Linked DNA regions of Anolis sagrei. The protein of the gene in region 1 purifies or fractionates together with the protein of each later gene. This does not show direct contact. Links are inferred from orthologs where the notes say so. Each region holds a gene or a part of one and is shown in the gene's direction. Other genes may lie near its edges.

Region 1 (11,352 bases):
CTGGATCAACTGCTGCTAGGTGAGGTGGCCCTCTGTGAGGCCACTGGATCGGTTGTTGAAAGGTAAAGTAGTCCTCTGTGAGGCCACTGGATTGGCTAGAGTGGCCCTCCGTGAGGTCATTGGCTGTTACTAGGTGAAGTGGCCCTTTTTGAGGCCACTGCATCAGAGTGGCCCTCCGTGAGGTCGCTGGATGGGCTGTTGCTAGGTGAAGTGGCCCTTTTTGAGGCGACTGCATCAGCTAGAGTGGCCCTCTGTGAGGCCACTGGATCAGCTGTTGCTAGGTGAAGTGGTCCTCTGTGAGGCCACTGGATTGGCTAGAGTGGCCCTCTGTGAGGTCGTTGGATTGGCTGTTGCTAAGTGAAGTGGCCCTTTTTGAGGCCACTGCATCAGAGTGGCCCTCCGTGAGGTCGCTGGATGGGCTGTTGCTAGGTGAAGTGGCCCTTTTGGAGGCCACTGCATCAGCTAGTGTGGCCCTCTGAGGTCGCTGGATCGGCTGTTGCTAGGTGAAGTGGCCCTTTTTGAGGCCACTGCATCAGCTAGAGTGGCCCTCCGTGAGGTCATTGGCTGTTACTAGGTGAAGTGGCCCTTTTTGAGGCCACTGCATTAGAGTGGCCCTCCGTGAGGTCGCTGGATGGGCTGTTGCTAGGTGAAGTGGCCCTTTTGGAGGCCACTGCATCAGCTAGTGTGGCCCTCTGAGGTCGCTGGATCGGCTGTTGCTAGGTGAAGTGGCCCTTTTTGAGGCCACTGCATCAGCTAGAGTGGCCCTCCGTGAGGTCATTGGCTGTTACTAGGTGAAGTGGCCCTTTTTGAGGCCACTGCATTAGAGTGGCCCTCCGTGAGGTCGCTGGATGGGCTGTTGCTAGGTGAAGTGGCCCTTTTTGAGGCCACTGCATCAGAGTGGCCCTCCGTGAGGTCGCTGGATGGGCTGTTGCTAGGTGAAGTGGCCCTTTTTGAGGCCACTGCATCAGCTAGAGTGGCCCTCCGTGAGGTCGCTGGATCGGCTGTTGCTAGGTGAAGTGGTCCTCTGTGAGGCCACTGGATCGGCTAGAGTGGCCCTCTGTGAGGTCATTGGCTGTTACTAGGTGAAGTGGCCCTTTTTGAGGCCACTTCATCAGAGTGGCCCTCCATGAGGTCGCTGTATTGGCTGTTGCTAGGTGAAGTGGCCCTTTTTGAGGCCACTGCATCAGCTAGAGTGGCCCTCCGTGAGGTCATTGCTGTTACTAGGTGAAGTGGCCCTTTTTGAGGCCACGGCATCAAAGTGGCCCTCCATGAGGTCGTTGGATCAGCTGTTGCTAGATGAAGTGGGCCCTCTGAAGCCATTGGATCGGCTGTTGCTAGATGGTGGCCCTTTTTGAGGCCACTGCATCAGCTAGAGTGGCCCTCTGTGAGGTCATTGGCTGTTACTAGGTGAAGTGGCCCTTTTTGAGGCCACTGCATCAGAGTGGCCCTCCGTGAGGTCGCTAGATCGGCTGTTGCTAGGTGAAGTGGCCCTTTTTGAGGCCACTGCATCAGCTAGAGTGGCCCTCTGTGAGGCCACTGGATCAGCTGTTGCTAGGTGAAGTGGCCCTTTTTGAGGCCACTGCATTAGAGTGGCCCTCCGTGAGGTCGCTGGATGGGCTGTTGCTAGGTGAAGTGGCCCTTTTGGAGGCCACTGCATCAGCTAGTGTGGCCCTCTGAGGTCGCTGGATCGGCTGTTGCTAGGTGAAGTGGCCCTTTTTGAGGCCACTGCATCAGCTAGAGTGGCCCTCCGTGAGGTCATTGGCTGTTACTAGGTGAAGTGGCCCTTTTTGAGGCCACTGCATTAGAGTGGCCCTCCGTGAGGTCGCTGGATGGGCTGTTGCTAGGTGAAGTGGCCCTTTTTGAGGCCACTGCATCAGAGTGGCCCTCCGTGAGGTCGCTGGATGGGCTGTTGCTAGGTGAAGTGGCCCTTTTTGAGGCCACTGCATCAGCTAGAGTGGCCCTCCGTGAGGTCGCTGGATCGGCTGTTGCTAGGTGAAGTGGTCCTCTGTGAGGCCACTGGATCGGCTAGAGTGGCCCTCTGTGAGGTCATTGGCTGTTACTAGGTGAAGTGGCCCTTTTTGAGGCCACTTCATCAGAGTGGCCCTCCATGAGGTCGCTGTATTGGCTGTTGCTAGGTGAAGTGGCCCTTTTTGAGGCCACTGCATCAGCTAGAGTGGCCCTCCGTGAGGTCATTGCTGTTACTAGGTGAAGTGGCCCTTTTTGAGGCCACGGCATCAAAGTGGCCCTCCATGAGGTCGTTGGATCAGCTGTTGCTAGATGAAGTGGGCCCTCTGAAGCCATTGGATCGGCTGTTGCTAGATGGTGGCCCTTTTTGAGGCCACTGCATCAGCTAGAGTGGCCCTCTGTGAGGTCATTGGCTGTTACTAGGTGAAGTGGCCCTTTTTGAGGCCACTGCATCAGAGTGGCCCTCCGTGAGGTCGCTAGATCGGCTGTTGCTAGGTGAAGTGGCCCTTTTTGAGGCCACTGCATCAGCTAGAGTGGCCCTCTGTGAGGCCACTGGATCAGCTGTTGCTAGGTGAAGTGGCCCTTTTTGAGGCCACTGCATCAGCTAGAATGGCCCACCATGAGGTCATTGGATTGGCTGTTACTAGGTGAAGTGGCCCTTTTTGAGGCCACTGCATCAGCTAGAATGGCCCACCATGAGGTCATTGGATTGGCTGTTACTAGGTGAAGTGGCCCTTTTTGAGGCCACTGCATCAGCTAGAATGGCCCACCATGAGGTCATTGGATTGGCTGTTACTAGGTGAAGTGGCCCTTTTTGAGACCACTGCATCAGCTAGAGTGGCCCTCTGTGAGGCCACTGGATCAGCTGTTGCTAGGTGAAGTGGTCCTCTGTGAGGCCACTGGATTGGCTAGAATGGCCCTCTGTGAGGTCGTTGGATCGGCTGCTGCTAGGTGAAGTGGCCATTTTTGAGGCCACTGCATCAGAGTGACCCTCTGTGAAACCACTGGATTAGCTGTTGCTAGGTGAAGTGGCCCTTTTGGAGGCCACTGCATCAGCTAGTGTGGCCCTCTGTGAGGTTGCTGGATTGGCTGTTGATAAGTAAAGTGGCCCTCTGTGAGGTCGCTGGATCAGCTGTTGCTAGGTGAAGTGGCCCTTTTTGAGGCCACTGCATCAGCTAGAGTGGCCCTCTGTGAGGCCATTGGATCAGCTATTGCTAAGTGAAGTAGCCCTCTGTGAGGCCACTGGATTAGCTGTTGCTATGTGAAGTGGTCCTTTTTGAGGCTACTGGATCAGCTAGAGTGGCCCTCCATGAGGTTACTGGATCAGCTGTTGCTAGGTGAAGTTGCCCTCTGTGATGCCACTGCATCGGCTTGAGTGGCCCTCTGTGAGGCTACTGGTTCAGCTGTTGATAGGTGAAACGGCCCTTTGTGAGGCCACTGGATCGGCTGTTGCTAGGTGGAGTGACCTTCTATGAGGCCACTGGAATGGCTAGTGTGGCCCTCTGAGATCACTGGATCAGCTGTTGCTAGGTGAAGTGGCCCTCTGTGAAGTCACCGGGAAAGAAATACGACATATGTATACGAGGTGAAGGGAGGGAGGAAGAAAGGAAAGAAAAAGGGATGGAAGGAAGAAAAAAGGGGGAGGAAGGAAAGAGAAAGGAGGAAGGAAGGAAGGAAGGAAGGAAGGAAGGAAGGAAGGAAGGAAGGAAGGAAGGAAGGAAGGGAAGAGATAGGAAAGAAAGAAGAGGTATATGAGGGAAACGGAGGAAGGAGAGACAGCAGCACAGAGGCTTGTTGCTCCTCTTCCATCTGTACTAGAATTAAACCCTTTGTCATCTCCCACTCTCAATGCTGTCAGATCCTGGGAGATGTAGTTTTGCAAGGGCTTTCATCTTCTCTGGGATAGAGTGTTAATGCGGCCCCCAAGGACAACTCCCAGGATTTTGTAGCTTTGTGCCACGGCAGTCCAAAGTGGCATCAACCCGCATTAATGTACGTTGAATTGCAGCTTCACTGCTCATCATCACCCGCGGCTTCAAGCGAGCCAAGACATTGGAGGCCGCAGCCTGCTTGGGATCCCATGCTCTGAATGTCAACATTTCTGGCCCGAGGCCTCCCAAAGCAAGGCCTCCATTGTGCTAGTTGTTGTGCGCCTTTGCTCACATTAGTATTCCGGTGGTGCAGTGCGCTCCCTTCTCGTTCCATTCATGTTCAGTTCAATGTCAGCCCGGTGCATTTGCAAAAAATGATGCATTTCCTCTGTTTCGAGGTTGGAAAACCCTTCCGTTCTTGCAGCAATCGCTGAGCCGGCAAGACCGCAGCTCCGCTTCCTGTGTGTACATGATTTGGGCCTAGCAATATATACATACATACATATATATACATATATAAGATAGGCAAAAATATATAAACAACACAAGGACCAAGATTTTGGTCCAAAATCCAAGTTTGGTTTTGTTCCAACCGTTTGTCGTTGTGTGTCTCTCTTTTTCTGTACTTTCTAAAAGGTAACCCACAAAACACAAAAGCCTCTGCTTTGCATACTGACAACTTTTTTTTCTCTTTCGGCTTCCTCATTGCGTTATTATATATATATATTCGTCGCTTGCCAGAAATGAAAAGAAGAGGGGTGGAGCGAAAAGTGGAACGCAAGAGGAAAAGAAGACCTCGCGGGTGAGGCTTTTGGGGTGTCGTCTGCTCCCCCCTTCGGAGACATAAACGTCGCCACAAACTTCCTCCCAGGGAACCGTTTTTGCACTTTGTCAAGAAGAAGAAAATTTTCCTTTTCGGCTTGGAACAAAGTGCCTGTTATTCGGACGCCTTTGGCACCGTTTTGGACTGCCTTCCTCGTCATGGCACACCTGCAGTTTAAGGATGTCTTTTGGGTAAGCGCCCATGCCTTGCCATCGAGAAGAAGACGCAACACTTTTATTATGTCTAATAAGTGCCTGGCACCTGTCGCCACAATTATTTTGGTTGAGTCGCACTCAACATTGAGTGCAATGAACTATTTACTGTATAAACTGGCTACTACTATTATTATTACTACTATTACTATTATTATTTTGGCTCGGTAGAACTGAACATTGAGTACATTCAACTATTTACTATATAATAATAATTTCTTTCAACTTGGTAGAACTGAACATTGAGTGCACTCAGTTATTTACTTTTTTTTTCTCGGCTTGGTAGAACTGAACATTGAGTGCACTCAACTATTGATTATATAATAATAATAATAATAATAATAATTATTATTATTATTATTATTGGCTTGGTAGAACTGAACATTGAGTGCACTCAACTATTGATTATATTATTATTATTATTATTGGCTTGGTAAACTGAACATTGAGTGTACTCAGTTATTTACTATATAATAATTTTTTTCTTGGCTTGGTAGAACTGGAGTGCACTCAACTATTTACTACATAATTATAATAATAATTATTATTATTATTATTTTCGGCTTGGTAGAACTGAACATTCGCTTTGAGTCACCTGAGGGCTGAGAAAAGCAGTATAGTAGTAAATAATTGAGTGCACTCAGTGTTCAGTTCTACCAAGCCAATAATAATAATAATAATTATTATTATTATTATTATTATTATATAGTAAATAGCTGAGTGCACCCCAGTTCTACCAAGCCAAGAAAAAAAATTATTATATAGTAAATAACTGAGTACACTCAATGTTCAGTTCTACCAAGCTGAAAATAATAATAATAATAATAATTATTATTATTATATAGTAAATAGTTTAGTGTACTCAAAGTTCAGTTCTACCAAGCCTATTATTATTATTATTATTATTATTATTATTATTATTATTGGCTTGGTAGAACTGAACATTGAGTGCACTCTACTATTGATTATATAATAATAATAATAATAATAATAATTATTATTATTATTATTATTATTGGCTTGGTAGAACTGAACATTGAGTGCACTCAAATTATTTACTACTATACCGCTTTTCTCAGCCCTCAGGTGACTCAAAGCGAATGTTCAGTTCTACCAAGCTGAAAATAATAATAATAATAATAATAATAATAATAATAATTATTATTATTATTATTATTATATAGTAAATAGTTTAGTGTACTCAAAGTTCAGTTCTACCAAGCCTATTATTATTATTATTATTATTATTATTATTGGCTTGGTAGAACTGAACTTTGAGTACACTAAACTATTTACTATATTATTATTATTATTTTCAGCTTGGTAGAACTGAACATTTGCTTTGAGTCACCTGAGGGCTGAGAAAAGCGGTATATAAATAAAGTAAATAAATAAACAAACATTGAGTGCACTCAACTATTTACTATATTAAAATAATAATAATAATAATTATTATTATTATTATTATTGGCTTGGTAGAACTGAACATTGAGTGCACTCATCTATTTACTATATTATTATTATAATAATTATTATTATCAGCTTGGTAGAACTGAACAATGAGTGCACTCAACTATTTACTATATAATAATAATAATAATAATAATAATTATTATTATTATTATTATTATCGGCTTGGTAGAACCGAGCGTTGAGTACACTCAACTATTTTCTATATAATAATTATAATTTTTTTCGGCTTGGTAGAACTGAACATTGAGTACACTCAACTATTTACTATATAATAATTTCTTTCGACTTGCTAGAACTGAACGCTTAAGCGGCTGAGGGTGAAAAGGAGGGGGCCTGAGGTGGTTAGGAATGGTGGGAGTTGTAGTCCAAAACACCTGGAGGGCCCAAGTTTGCTCATGCCTGGTGTAGATGCACCATCAAAATGCCTGATTCAGACTAACGCCGCTTCCTATTCCAAGACACAATGATATTTCCCTGGGAAAATCTGACATTGGGCTTAATCTGGTGTGAAACGGGTGAATCAGTCGGAGCGTAATGGTTGGGATGATGCATCCGAAGGCAGAAATTCACATTTTTTGCAGCAACTTCAAGCTGGATCCTTCTCTGCTGGGTTCGTCTCCGTGCTGGGAATGGCAAAGGCAATAGTAGGTTTGGCTTGCGGCTCTTTGTAACTTCCAATGAGTGGAATCGTTGGGTTTTTCTTTCAACTTATTATTTTCCTAAAGGAGAACCTGATCTGCTCCTAAGAGAATCTCACTCTTCTTAGGGTATCATTGGAGGGCCTTTTTGGGGTACTTTTTGGGTGCATTTGCACTGCAAAACGAATACAGTTTAATTGCAATGGCTCAATGCGATGGGATCCTGGGAGTTGCAGTTCGGCAGGGTCTTGGCGTGTTATATTTCCTCTGTTCCTTCTGCGGTTAATTGAGAACTTCTCTTTTTCCAACCAAAGCCCTTCCAGGAACAAAGGCAGTGGTTTGTCTCACAGCTGGTAGTGCTTTCCACCCAATTTGGACTGAATGCAATGCTCTTATTTCAAAAGTGGCGTCAAACTGCATTAATTCTATAATACAGATGCAGCCTGCACTAGGCTTGGCTGATCCAAAAAAATGGTTCAAAACTCGTTTCGGATGTAGGGGCGCTGGTGGTTCGATTCTAAAGTCAATTCTGATTTTCACAGAAAAAAATATGTTCAAAGCTTTTCGAAACTTCCAAGACTTTCGAATCCTTTCATTAATAGTTTGAAAGTGTTATTTCCTGTTTCATTAGGTGGTCTTTACTTTGAAAGTAGTTGTTTTACTCCAGAAGCAGGGAAAAGCAAGCAGAGGAAATTCTTTCCTTTTCTGGTTTAAAACTGCTTCTCTGGCTGCAAAACTGGCTTCTCTGGCTTGATCCAAGGCCAGGAAATTCTTTCCTTTTCTGGTTTAAAACTGGCTTCTCTGTTTTTAAAACTGGCTTCTCTGGCTTTAAAACTGGCTTCTCTGGCTTGAGCTGAGGCCAGGAAATTCCTTCCTTCTCTGGTTTAAACCTGGCTTCTCTGGCTTTAAAACTGGCTTCTCTGGCTTGAGCCGAGGCCAGGAAATTCTTTCCTTTTCTGGTTTAAAACTGGCTTCTCTGACTTGAGCCGAGGCCAGGAAATTTTTTCCTTTTCTTGTTTAAAACTGGCTTCTCTGACTTGAGCTGAGACCAGGAAATTCTTTCCTTTTCTGGTTTAAAACTGGCTTCTCTGGCTTTAAAACTGCCTTCTCTAGCTTGAGCCGAGGCCAGGAAATTCTTTCCTTTTCTGGTTTAAAACTGGCTTCTCTGACTTGAGCTGAGACCAGGAAATTCTTTCCTTTTTTGGTTTAAAACTGGCTTCTCTGGCTTTAAAGCTGGCTTTTCTGGCTTGAGCCAAGGCCAGGAAGTTCCTTCCTTTCCCAATTTAAAACTGCCTTCTCTGGCTTTAAAACTGGCTTCTCTGGCTTGAGCTGAGGCCAGGAAATTCCTTCCTTTTCCTGTTTAAAACTGGCTTCTCTGGCTTTAAAACTGGCTTCTCTGGCTTTAAAACTGGTATCTCTGGCTTGAGCTGAGGCCAGGGACCAGAAGTGGAGAAAAGCTGAATAATTTCTGACTCACTTCAGGAATTGTAACAAAAATGGTGGGAAAAGGATCGGAAGGGCAAAGGGACTTCTGGTTTTCTTAAAAACTTCAAAATCGCTCTGAAAAGATTATTTTTCCAATTTTATTCCGAATTATGAATATTCCGACTGTACCTAACCATGCCTGGCCCGCACCACTCTGAGTTTAGTAAGGCAGCAGGACTAAAAACCTCGAGCTTCTTTATCCCCACTTTAGCTTGCAAACCATCCTATACTGGTTAAATAAGCACAAACCATTGTGATCAGTGTTCGTTCATTTCCAAACATTCCCTTCTTAAGTTAAGTAGCATCGCATTGATAGGAGAGCATCATAGGCCTTCGATACGTTTCTAGGTGTTTCCATGCTCAATTTTTATGACTGCGAGAGCTGTTCAGTAGTGGAACTCTCTGCTCTGGAGTGTGGTGGAGGCTCCTTCTTAGGAGGCTTTTAAGCAGAGGATGGGTGGCCATCTGTCGGGAGCGGGGAGGGCTTTGAATGCAATTTTCCTATTGGAGCTCAGCCTGTGATTGTGTTCCAGGATCAGGGTGCTTTGGATGTGGGGAATGATGTCAATGAGTTGCAAGATGAGTTTCAAAATGGTAGCGGTTTGGCCAGTGATGTTGATGCAGAGAATGACCAGGAGATCCCTGTGCAAAGTGTAGTTTCCCATGATAATGTCCCTGAGGGGTGTGGGGATGATAGTGTGTTTTCTGGATTGTTACCGAAGAGTTCCCATGATAGGGAACATGAAAATAGCTCAGCACCTGGCCCAGCTGCAGAAATTAATGAGCAAATAGATAATGAGCAAATAGATAGATGAGAGGAGATCAGTCAAAACAGGAGAGCCGAACAGTGGCTTCGGTGTTCTGCCAGGCTTTGAGAGAAAAAGATAAGAACTTCTCAGTTGAAGCGAAACCAATTTTTGAGCGCTAGAGGCATAGCGTAATGAGGAGATAAAAGTCCCAAGTACAGGATATGGGATTCGTTTGGAATCAAGTCAAGATCTCGTCTTTGTTTCATGGAAGCTTTGCTTGGAAAATTCATGTTTTAAGTGCCTTTGTTTCATGGTTTTGATTCTTGGATTCTATGCTTTTATATTCATGCCTTGGGTTCATGATTTCTTGCATTTAATGTCCCTGAGGGGTGTGGGGATGATGATGAAAATAGCTCGGCACCTGGCCCAGCTGAAGAAGTTAATGAGCAAATAGATAGACGGAAGCAGATCAGTCCAAACAGGAGAGCCGAACAGTGGCTTCGGCGTTCTGCCAGGCTCCGAGAGAAAAAGATAAGAAATTCTCAGCTAAAGCGAAACCAATTTCTGAGCGCTAGAGACATAGCTAACGAGGAGATAAAAGTCCCAAGTACAGGATATGTAGCCAGATGAAGCATCGTTTGGAATCAAGTCAAGACCTTGTCCTCTGTTTCATGCCATTTTGGAAACAAGATGCAGAATTAACCCAGAACAGAACCAGGTCGACTAATTAGCTGTTTAATCTCTTAATTAACTCCTAGTGCAAAGAGTTCACTGTTCACGCCGGATACGATGCGCTCCTGCAGCGATTGCTTGACGGGCGGAAGATGTGCAAAGACGTGGAGGACTTAATCAAACAAAGGTAAGGAAAACGGTCGATCAAGGCTGGGAGATCATTAAACTGGTTCGCTAAGCATTCATGAATCATTTTGGGAGTCAAAAGTGACACAGACGTGGACTATTTTTAATAGAGATGAGTAAAGATTTCTTCCAGGCGATGGAAATGTTGCTTTCGTGTGCCCTTCAAATCCTTCCGATTCCCTAAAGTGAACCTATCTTGAGGTTTTCTAGGCCAAACTTGGCTTTTTTTTTTAGACTGAGAGAGTGTGACTCAAATAATAATAATAATAATAATAATAATTTAATTTAATTTAATTTAATAATAATAATAATAATAAAATATAAATAAATTATATTAAATTAAATCTAAATAAATTTTATTTATTTATATCCCAGTTTTATTTCGGTTGAGTAGAACCAAATATCGAGTGCACTCTGGGATTTCGGATATAAACGTATTATTATTATTATTAATAATAATAATAATAATTTGTAACCTGGTTTTATGGATGTGATTGGGACTCAAAGCAGATCACGACAATTAGGCAATCATTTCAGACCTCCAGCATATAAATATTAAAGTAGGATTTTTAATATTTATGGCAGTGAGCAAGCTTGAATAGCATTGAGTAGCCTTCCAGCTGCAAAGTCAATCAGTGAGGGTATCTGCAAAGAGGTAGTCAAACAATATCTGTGGAATAAAGTCCAGGGTGGGAGAAAGAATCCTTATCCACTTGAAGCAAGTGTGGATGTTGCAATTAGCAAGCTTAAATAGCATTGAGTAGCCTTGCGGCTGCAAAGTCAATCAGTGAGGGTGTCTGCATAGAGGCAGCTTGGCCTCTGTTGCCTGGAGGCATCCTCTGGAATAATGTCCAGGGTAGGGTAAAGAATCGTTGTCCGCTTGAAGCAAGTGTGGATGTTACAATTAGCAAGCTGGAATAGCATTGAGTAGCCTTGTAGCTGCAAAGTCGATCAGTAAGGATGTCTGCATAGAAGCAGCTTGGCTTCTTTTGCCTGGAGGCATCCTCTGGAATAATGTCCAGGATGGGAGAAAAAATCCTTGTCTGCTTGAAGCAAGTGTGAATGTGCAATTAGCAAGCTTGAATAGCATTGAGTGGCCCTGCAGCTGCAAAGTCAATCACTGAGGGTGTCTGCATAGTGGCAGCCTGGCCTCTGTTGCCTGGAGGTATCCTTTTTTGGGAAGGATGATTGTTGCTCTCTGGAGTTCTCCTGCTTGTGAGCGGTGTTGTTTATTTACTGTCTTGCTTGTGATGTTTTTTTTAGTACTGGTAACCAACC
Region 2 (11,352 bases), on another chromosome or scaffold:
CTCTCTGCACATCTTCCCTGTTTCCTGTGTATCCGTGACATTTTAATTCTGTTTTTTGTTTAATTTTTTCCCATTTAGTCTTTTTTTTTTGCCTCTATGTTTCATATTTGCACAATAGCACTTAAATTTCAAAAATACTTACTTGCTTTAAGAAAGATGTTTTGCTTTCATGTCCTCTTCTGCCTTCTGTTTTTTTAATATTGGTGAAAGTGGTGCACTTGTCCTGGAATTTTTAAAGTGCTTTGGTATGAATTTTGAAATAATTATTAAAATTAATTTTGTAAAAAAAAAAAAGAATGATTAAAAGATCCAGACGAATTGTCACATGGCCTTGTAAGGTCCACTTAGAAGACAGGCAGGATACATATAGTCTGCATTTAGCTTATTTGTATGCTGCTTTTCCACAGCGAACAGTGTCCAAAAGCAGCTTTCAGTAAACAATATCAAAATACACAACATTTACATTTTAAAAGTTGTTTTATAGACTTGAAATTGATATATTTAAGTAAGACAAAAGCAACAATCAGATAAAGGCAGAGTAAATTCGATATTACAATTAATTAAGTTGTGTGTTTTTTGGGCTGTATGGCCATGTTCCAGAAGCATTCTCTCCTGACGTTTCACTTGCATCAATGGAAGGCATCCGTAGATGTTCTGAGACCTCACAACCTCTGAGGATGCCTGCCATAAATGCAAGCAAAATGTCAAGAGAGAATGCTTCTCGAACATGGCCATACGGCCCAAAAAACACACAACAACCCAGTGATTCTGGCCATGACGATGCTAAATTAAGTGCTCATCCAAATCAGAAGACACCAAAAAAGATAATGAAAATATCCTTGAAGGTCAGGGTTAGCCCTGTGGTATGGCTTTCCTTAGACAGTTTCATGGCAAAAAATTGCCAATTACAATCTTTATTTTCCACCATTGAGGATGGAAAGGAGATGTCATTCGGATTTTCTACCTCAAGTACTAAAATGGCTTGGGTTGCTTTAACACACTGAAGGATCAAGTGAAGAGAATAGAGGAATTGGCACAGAGTCCCATCTTCAATAAGTTCCCTTTGCAAATCTGATCAGGATCTGTGCCAGCGTGACTTTCTAGGTTTGCAACCTTCCCAACTCTGGTACCCATTGGCTTCTCTTCTCTTTTTGCAACTCTAGTTCTTTAGTCTTGTTCTCTTGCCCCTTTTTATACCGATATCCCAAACTCGTCATGGCTTCCATATAGGTCGCTGTATTATTACCAGTACTATTGCATCAACACACCACCTAGTTTTCTCCAGCTGTTAAACATTCTTTGGCACTGTTGCAATAAGTCGTGATTTGTTAACTTAGAATGGTGGGTGTCCATTTTAAGTTATTGGAATTGGAAATATCCTTTGCCAAGTGCTAAAAATGTGTTGCTATTTCATTATAGTATGGCCTGTACAGCCGCAGTGGTCACCCCATATCTCCTGAAGCAAAGTCTGAGGCAGTCTGCTCCACTATCAAATAGCTCATACTTTCTGGAGGCCCTTCATAATGTTTAGTATTTCTCAATTGAACCAGTTAATTTGGCTTTTACCTTCTGGGGAAAAACAAAACCAAATTTTTAGTGATGGTGGGAGTTGTAGTCCCAACAGATATCTGGATGGTATGCATTACAGGATGAAAAGGGCTGTGTTAATCATGTCATATTAGTCATTATTCAGCAGCACAGCACACATTGCTTTTACTTGAAATGTTTCATAGTATACCTGTTTCTTGTTTGGGCCAAATTACTTGGTCTGCTAGCACAAGGTGGGCAGTGCACAGCCTTCAAAGTGATGGACCAGAGGTTCTTTCAATCCTTACTGGGATTGTCAATGCTGAGGGATTTCATGGATTGTAGGTCCAACAATATCCAAAGAACGCATATTGCTCACCCCAGGACTAGCAGCTTTGCTTTTTTATTTTATTATTATTATTTTGTCATGTCAGGAACAACTTGAGAAACTGCAAGTCGCTTCTCGTGTGAGAGAATTGGCCATCTGCAAGGATGTTGCCCAGGGGACGCCCGGATATTTTGATGTTTTACCATCCTTGTGGGAGGCTTCTCTCATGTCCCCGCATGGGGAGCTGGAGCTGATAAAGGGAGCTCATTCGCGCTCTCCCTAGATTCGAACCTACAACCTGTCAGTCTTCAGTCCTGCCGGCACAATGGTTTAACCCACTGCGCCATCAGGGGCTCCAGCAGCTTTGCTAAGTGTATTATATATGTATATTTGAAATGGCAAAAATATGAAGTTCTTTGGAACTCCAGAAATACATTGCATTTACATTTCTGCAATGGTTGCATCCTTCCCTAAAACTGTCAGTAGTCTGAATCGGATGGAAATCCTTGTTCACGTAATATGGTCCACCTTTTTACATTGGGACATATGCTGTGTTGTTCCTGCTCAATTCATCTGTTGTAGTAGCCCATCATGATGATGAGACAGTTAAATTGTTACATTGCATTATGATTGCTTTTCCAGTACTTTCTGTTGTTGTATAAAGGGGTGGGCAAATCCTCCAGATTGATAATAAAAGGGGACAAAACTTCAGCATGTCCTGTCAAAACACCTCTTCAAATACGGTAATTTAAAAATAATTGGAAACAGTTACCTTTGACAATAATATTTTGCTTTTGTTTTTGAAATGCTGGAAAAGTTAATTTGGAAAGTGATTTGTTTTGTTAAGTCATTACAGTGGCTAAAAAGTAACCCATTGCAATCACTCATCATTATATTATTCTATAATGTTGATGGAAAATTGCATTTCCTACTTTTCTCATTTCATTTCCAGTATTTTTTGTTACTTTATAAGGGGGAGGCGGCGAAACTCTCCTCACCAATAAGAGAGAAGCATAAAACTTCAAACCGTCCTGTCAAAATGCCTCTTGAAATGCGTTAACTTGAAAATAATTAGAAACTGTTACTTTTTACAACAATATTTTGCTTTTAGGGTTAAAACGTAATTTTGTTATATTCTTGATACATTGAGACAACTGATTATATTTAACAACCTTGCTTAATTGGTTACTTTCAGCTTTTGTGACAAATGTCTGGGGTGGCTCCTGTCTGTGTGGCCGACCCATCCAGGTTTACATTTCTCTTCATTTTCACAGGGTGTTTGTGTCTCACTACAATTCCTCTTCCTCACATGGTGTTTGGGTGACTGCAGGTTGCCATTACCCTTTTCCATTCTCTCTCTGGAAACCTCAGGATTTCTTCCCATAGAGACTTAACAGCTCTTGATTCTGGTTGGGGTCGGAGCAGGTTTCATGTTTAAGGGAGGAGGGAATCAGATTCAAAATGTGAAAATGGATGCAAGGACACGGTATTTGTTTAATTTTGGAATGCAATAAAACTGTTGACTTTCAGGAGAAACAATCATGCCATGGATAATGTCTTTTGTTTGTTTTTAATGCTTATAATACCATCAATCAGATGTATAGGAAAACAATATAATGTTGCTACAGCTCTTTTAATTACATATATGGCTATATGCTCAATTGTATGTAAATACTAGTGTATACAGTGTTCCCTCGCTATTTCGTAGTTTGCTTATCGCAGACTCGCTGTTTCGCGGGTTTTTCTTCAGTCCTCCCTCTTTTCCTCCAGCCTGTCTTCATTCCTTTTACTGTCTACATTGAGACCTGTCTCCATTCCTTTTAAGTTGAGACCTGTCTCCATATCTTTTACTTGCCCTTTCCATTCATTTCATTGGTGGCACTCTGACTCTGGCCCCTCCGCTTCTGCCTCTTTGCTGCTGCTGCTTCCTCCTCGTCCTCCTTCTCAAGCCCGACCCACAAGTGCTACAGCAAGCGGCCCATCAAGGCCACCACATCCTCCGGCCCCGGGTGAGCGCCAGGAAGGGAGGGAGGGAGGGAGAGACTCCAGTGGGGCCATGTTTCAAGAAGGAAGATGATTAGACACGCAATGAGGAAGCACACTGCACATGCTCAGGAAACCTTGGCACCACTTGAACTGAGGGAGAGAGGAGTGGGCGGAGTGTCCCTACTTTGCGGATTTTCACTTATTGCGGGTGGTCCTGGAATGTAACACTAGCAGTAAGTGAGGGAACACTGTATACCTGATGTTGCTTGAGCGTCGTTGGGACCACTGCTTACCTTCTTTCTCCCTTCTCCAGCTCTGATAAGGCCTTCTTTGCAACTTCTTCATGGCAACACTCAAGCAGTGGTAGGCAGGCTACCATTGTGCAGGCTACCATTTCCTTCCTCCCCCTCATACACATGTCAACTTCCTCTCTCAGAGACATCACAGGGGATCACCTAACCTAGCAACAGCCAGTCCAGTGAAATCATAGAGGGCCATTTCACCTAGCAACAGTCTTTGTTTTACAAGCATACATACTTCGACATGTGCGTGTGTGATAAGTGTTTGCTGCAATGTTTGCCAGAAAAACAGAAGGTGGGGGGAATGCTTCCTTGCATTGTGTCTTTTTATCCCAACCAATGAACACATTTAGTCTTCATTGGCTCTGTGTCTTATATGAGAGAGAAAGTTCTGTTTGTGAAAGAGAAAGTGTTCTTCACCATTTTTCCTTCCTAAGCCCATAGCCAGAAATACTGAGTTGGGCGTGATCCAAATATAATCAAGGGACCAAATTAAAAGTTAGTGAGATGCAATATTAGCAAATAAATTCATTCCTAAATAGGCTCACCATCCTCCTTGATTCATAGAGTTGGAAGAGACCATGTGGGCCATCCAGTCCAACCCCCCTGCCAAGAAGCAGGAAATTGCATTCAAAGCGCCCCTGAAAGTCATCCAGCATCTGTGTAAAAGCCTCCAAAGAAGGAGCCTCCAGCACACTCTGGAGCAGAGAGTTCCACTGATGAACAGATCTCACAGTTAGGAAGTTCTTCCTCATATTCAGGTGGAATCTCCTTTCCTGTAGTTTGAAGCCATTATTCTGTGGCCTAGTCTCCCGGGCAGCAGAAAACAAGCCTGCTCCTTCCTCTCTGTGAATTCCCTTCACATATTTTTACATGGCCCTCATCATGTCTCCTCTCAGCCTTCTCTTCTGCGGGCTAAATATTCTCCTGCATCTATTAAATAGGTACCTGGGCAGAACATACAAGCATGGGCATGCCAGTCTGATGAGGCCATGTACCAGTTCATTTCTAATCCAGGAAAGAATCCCAGAAGTATGTCTCTACTGCTAGTTTTCTATCTCAGTCTCATAGGCATGGACTCAATTTTACAACTTCCCACCTAATTAAACCTATTTTTGTGTTTGGGACACTTGCCTGTGCTGTTTTAAACACCAAAATCTCATTAAACCTCCAGAGTGCAAACAGCATAGTTTCAGGTTTTTTCTTAGGATTTTTGCATTGATTTTTTAATATCTTTTATGTGTGGACTTTGGCAAATGCATTTTTAAAAATAAAGAACCTTCCTTTTTCTCCCCCCTCTTTCCAAGATGGGAGGTGGCTCATCATAAAAACGTTAAGAAGTAACGACATACAAAAAGTCTGCCAGGAAGTTCATTCTAATTGAATTCAGCCAGTTAAGAATAATTCTTTTTGGGCAATGGCAGGACCAGATTCAAGAGCAGGAGAAAGTATTTTTTAATCCATAACACCAAGAATAGTCCACATCTTTGATGCTCACCTCATGTTTCTGCCCCAACTTTCATTCAAGATAACTTTGAATGAAAGAAAACAGGGCAAATAGGATTTGAAATCTGATCCTCAAAGCAACATTTGGAAGAGGATATATGTTAAAAGGCTGTGATCAAAGCTTTAGTGCTAGAAAAGCAGAGTGGTATTCTGGGCAACTACCACAAGGTTTTTGTGGTTGAATGTTCCCTTAACATTTGCTGTTTGTCATGCAACTAACACACACACTGCCATTCCATTGTAACTATTAGATGCAATTAGATGCAAATAGTTACCATTACCATTAGATGCAATGCTAATCCTTTCCATTGCATCTAATGAAGCAAACTTGAGTCCACAAAAGCTGGTTCTAGTATTTTTTTCTCTCTCTCAGTCTCAAAGATGCAACATGATACTTGGAAACTTTTGTATTCCCCTGCCAAGTCCAAGGTGGGTAGAAATCTTTAGTGCTGAGTTCAGAATAAACCCTGCCCTTAAAATATGTTTTTGGGAACTGAACAACAGTCATACCTATTTTCACAAGCTTCAAAAATATATGTACTGAATCTGAGGTGCCATAGGAGTGAACTCTGAGCTAATTGTTGTTTCTCAGAGCAGAATCATTTGTTTGAGGTGTCTCCTTCATTCTGGCCCACTCTCGGCCTGTTGGTAACTCAGCCATGCTCAGGAAGGACTTACTCCAGGACTCTCATGAAGCAAGATGGGGAGTCTCTTTCTCTCTTGTCTCTGTGGCCTGGTGGTTTCCGAACTTCCTGTTGTAAAGAGAAAAGGCCTTGCAAGACGGAAGTTCGCTCTGGGTGAGATCATCCAGAGTCGTCTTTAACGGGGCCCAAGATGAGCCGGAGGCCCAAACCAGGAGCCAGGACACAGCAGGAAAATACACCATCTAACCTGCTCCAGGACCATGAGAACCAACAAGTGTTTGAACTCCTGGGCAGGAAATGCACGGTAATTCTGGCTTTGTTCTCGGATAGAAAAACTGCAAACAGAATTCAGAAATCTGTCTGGGGCAGAGGGAGGAGCAGGGGGAGGTGGTCGACTGGATTTCTTGGACAAATTTGGGGGATCTAAGTGATTCGAGCATTCAGTCTGGCACAGGAGTAGAAGGACTCATGGTTATGGGCAAGTACCTTCCTTAGAGCAGTGGTTCTCAATCTTTCGAATGCCATGACCCCTTAATACAGTTCCTCATGTTGTGGTGACCCCCAACCATAAAATTATTTTCATTGCATTGTAATGGAAATATCTGATATGCAGAATGTATTTTCATTCACTGCACCAAATTTGGCACAAATACTCGATATGCCCAAATTTGAATATTGGTGGGGTTGGAGGGGGGATTGATTTTGTTATTTGGGAGTTGTGGTTGCTGGATTTTATAGTTAACCTATAATCAAAGAGCATTCTGAACACCAACTATGGAATCGAACCAGACTTGGCACACAGAACTCCCATGATCCCATGACCAACAGAAAATACTGGAAGGGTTTGTCGACATTGATCTTGAGTTTGGGAGTTGTAGTTCACCTACATCCAGAGGGCACTGTGTATTCAAACAGGTGGATCTGGACCAAACTAGGCACAAATACTCGATATGCCCAAATGTGAACACTGGTGGAGTTTGGGGAAAATAGATCTTGACATTTGGGAGTTGTAGTTGCTGGAATTCACCTACAACTTCCAAATGTCAAGGTTCGCCTACATTCAAAGAGCATTCAGAATTCCACCAATTATAGAACTGGGCCAAACTTTCCACACAGAACCCCCATTGCCAACAAAAAATGCTGTGTTTTCTGATGGTCTTTGGCGATCCCTTTGAAACCTCCCTCATGACCCTCCCAGGGTTCCCGACCCCCAGGTTGAGAAACACTGCCTTAGAGCCTGACTTTCCTGTCACTGTCAATCAGAGGATAAACAAGGAGATGTTAGAAAATGTGTTTGATCAGTAAGGGGGGGGGGGGGAGTTCAAATGCCGAGAGATACGATAGAATTTAACTCCCCAAAATGCATCAAGATCGTTGATCTTTTTGGAGGATCCTCTATGCAAAAAATAATGTTGCATCTTAACAAACCTGACAAGCAACTGTTTATTGGCTGCTAAAAAATTAGAAGAGGAAAATGGTAAAAGAAGTGGCACTGATGCTTTGTAAATTCATAAACCAGCACTTGATGGGAAATGGATCAAATTGAAAAATCTATAGGGAACAATGACAATCAGCAGAGTCCAGACTTCATTGTTTTGCCTAGAATATGGCTTGCTAAAATAATAGATGATTTTGTAAAATACAGTTTTGTTGTTTCAAGCAATAGTTAAGTTCTGACATTTGTTTGCCTGGGCACATGATCTATTCAGCTCCTGCAAAATACTTTCTCCTCAAATGCATGGAGGCCATGTTCACCCAGCTTAAAAAAATTGGAACGTGTTGGGTGGCTGGGGACTTGTGGTAAGGATTAATGTGGCCTTTCGTAGGCACAGTCTCTCCCACGAATAGGTCTTCCCCCACCATTTCTCATCTGCAGACAACCCCTGCCTTTCTTTCTTGTTCAGATATCTCAGGTTCCTTCCACACAGCTGAATAGAACCCCACATTATCTGCTTTGAACTGGAATTTATGGCAGGGTGGACTCAGATAACCCAGTTCCAAACAGATATTGTGGGATTTTCTGCCTTGATATTCTGGATTATATGGCTGTGTGGAAGGGCCCTCAGATAACCCAGCTCAAACCAGATATTGTGGGATTTTTCTGGGTTATATGGCTGTGTCGAAAGGCCCTCAGCCTCTACATTTCTCTAATCTGGTGCCTTCAAGATGTGTGATTTCCTATCATGCCAACATGCTGGTAGCAAATAAAGGGATTTATTGACCAGTGCCTTTAGTGAGCAACTGGCTGGAGGAGACATTTCCATATTTAAGGTACTCACTGTCTTGCAATAGTTTGGAAATAAAATTAAAGCCAATCCACTGGGCAAGAAGCCAAGTACATCTTCACAAGAATGAAGGTTTTTGTTATGTTTTGTTGGTCTTCGCATTTTTACTTCATCTTCCATGAATAGAAGTGACCGGAGAAGTTCGACAGTGAAACAACAACGATGCAGAAGGAAAGAATTCTAGAGCTGTCTGTTGTTTCTGTAAACTGCCTTGTCTTCAGGAAATGGAGAGAGAAAAACCACTTCCTCAGTGTGGTGGTGGTGGATCCGGCAATGATGACATATAGCGGGTCTAGAAGTGGGAGAGAGGGCGAGTCATTACCATCAAAATAGGCCCTTTCAGAGTTCAGAAATACACAAGGGTAATATCCTTTAGTAGAAAAAATGTATGCAGTCTATTCTTGTTCGATAATGGTGTACACTTTATTTTGAGACCATGCCTACTTGTAAACCAGTTCCACCATCAAGACGTTGAAGATGGTAGTTTCTGAGCGGGTTAATAGCTATTTAGAGGTTGTTAGCCTACTGAGTGGTTAAATCTTCTACAGCATGCCCATATTTTAAAGAACACTGTTCTTTTTTCATTGCAAAAAAAAAAATCTAAAAATATCAACCGTTTCCAAAATATCATGTAAAATATATATAATCTCTGCTCCAAATCGTAAGTTCATATAATGCACTCACTTATTTGAATCTGTTTAAAATTAAGTACAATTTTCTTGAGTGGGGATTGTTAACTGCCATCTGATTGACTTTGACGTATGGTGACCATGTACTGTATTTCACCGCATAATAATTGCATTTCCCTTCACAAAGAGGGCATGCAATTATGTGGTGACACATTAGGCCTACTGGGTTTCCCGTGGTCGGCAGCCAAAGAGGTCTCCTAGCTCTTCGCCATCACCTGCCTGTGAGTTTGCCCCTCAAATCTTTGGGGGCTGCTGTAAGGGGCAAGCGCAAGGACAGGGGTGCAACCAGTATGCGAGGAATCCTTAAATCCCCAAATTATTTTGGAAAATGGCATTTATAACCTTTTGGGAAAACACCTTTTGGAGAGCATTACTTTTAGAAAAGCATGACCTTTCAGAGAAGAGTATTTTGTACAACAGGCCAACATAACATTTCAATTTTTCCAAAAAGTAACAAAAACTACTACTGTACTTTTGTTTACATCTAAATGGAGGGAAAGAACAATGTTACTTTGTAAAACTGCAACTAGAATCCTAATGATCTTATAGGGTCTAGGTTTGTAACTTTTAACTACTATAAATATTTTTGAAGTTACCCGTCATCTTGTGAACTTGTTCGGTATCGCTCTGTAGGGTGACCAGATGCAAAAGAGGACCGTATATGTACAGAATTTTGGCAAGCATAGGTTTCTTCATAATGAAGGCAAATATCTTTCCTATGTTCTGGTCTTTCCAAATGGTAATTAAAGGCATAGGAGCCTTCCTGTCTGCTCCATTTAATTACTAGCCTCCACCCAGTTTTCAACACCCAAGACCTCAACATTTTGGCTTTTCTTTCATGATAGGCTTTTCAGGTCAGAAAACGGGGAAGAGTCCAGGGGCTTTTCACACAATGTAATTATGGCACTATTGCTCCACTTGAACTGCAATGGCAATATCCTATGGAATTTTGTGATTGACAATTGAGGGAAGGATTTTTAAAATCTGTAGCCTGGAAGCTTGCCAAGCGCTTCTCACTAAACTACAAATCCAAGGATTCCATAGGAGGTTGACACAGTAATTAAATAATAATAATAATAATAATAATAATAATAATAATAATAATATCAACTTTATTTATATTCTGCCCTTCTCACCCCGAAGGGGACTCAGGGTGGATCACAGTACACATACACAGCAAACATTCTATGCCATTTTGTATAGACAATACAGAAGGAGGTGTGTTGGTCCAGCTTTTGGTGCCATGCTTTCAATGTCCAGCTTTTGGTGCCATGGAAGGTTGGGCTTGAATCCAGATACAGGGGGTGCTGTCGCTCCATCCTCTATGACAAAGAGCCACTTCCTCCTTCCTTTTGCTCGCCCAGCATTTTCTGATCTTCTTTCTTTATGGCATTGTGAAACACCTTCCCCGCTTTTAGCGATACCTAATTTCTCTAATTACCTGGCTATTCCGATGCGCCTTTCCAGAATAGGAATCTCCAATAACAAGTCCCAGAAGCACTTAAGTAGAACTAAGATTGCTGCACACTGCACACTGCACTTGCCCTACAATCCTCACATACCACCTATCACATCAGCACTTTTAATCCTGTACCCCTTACTCTGGCCTGGCCCAGTTTTCATAGTGTCTTGATGTATTGTTTATTGCATGTCGTTAATACTGCTTTAACTGTTTTTAATTTTGCTTTAGGTGTTGTATTGTTGTGTTGTGTTTTGAGGCCTTGGCCTTTGTAAGCCGCATCGAGTCCTTCGGGAGATGCTAGCAGGGTACAAATAAAGTTAATAATAATAAATAATAATAATAATTACAGGTAAAGCTGTTTTTGAACTGCTTAGGTCAATAGTAAGCTGGTCTGACAGTCAGCAGCTCACACTGACCCAGGGCTTCGAACTTGCAACCTTTCGGTTGATAGATCTTATAATTGCTGGTGACTTACCAGCTGTGCTAAACCACTGGCCCACAGTGGTATAACTGTGCAGCGTGGAAGGATTCCCAGAGCAGCAGATCATCTCTATAGAGTGATGATTCTATGGGACATTATTAGGAAAGGTATGAAACAGAGACTCTACTTGTACCCTGACAGTCAA

Evidence for each region.
Region 2: the proteins of PSTPIP1 (region 1) and WAS purify together in Homo sapiens (affinity purification with western blotting; 3 studies listed by BioGRID and IntAct, with this or other methods). This does not show direct contact. The link is inferred for Anolis sagrei from reciprocal best matches to the Homo sapiens genes PSTPIP1 and WAS.

The regions. Positions count from the first base shown.
Region 1 is NC_090029.1:10,957,270-10,968,621, reverse strand, and holds the start of PSTPIP1 (proline-serine-threonine phosphatase-interacting protein 1), read left to right. Parts: upstream 1-4,390; 5' UTR 4,391-4,817; coding exon 4,818-4,850; intron 4,851-9,974; coding exon 9,975-10,075; intron 10,076-11,352. UniProt on the Homo sapiens protein: Involved in regulation of the actin cytoskeleton. May regulate WAS actin-bundling activity. Bridges the interaction between ABL1 and PTPN18 leading to ABL1 dephosphorylation.
Region 2 is NC_090022.1:194,030,096-194,041,447, forward strand, and holds the start of WAS (actin nucleation-promoting factor WAS), read left to right. Parts: upstream 1-6,206; 5' UTR 6,207-6,480; coding exon 6,481-6,594; intron 6,595-11,352. UniProt on the Homo sapiens protein: Effector protein for Rho-type GTPases that regulates actin filament reorganization via its interaction with the Arp2/3 complex. Important for efficient actin polymerization. Possible regulator of lymphocyte and platelet function.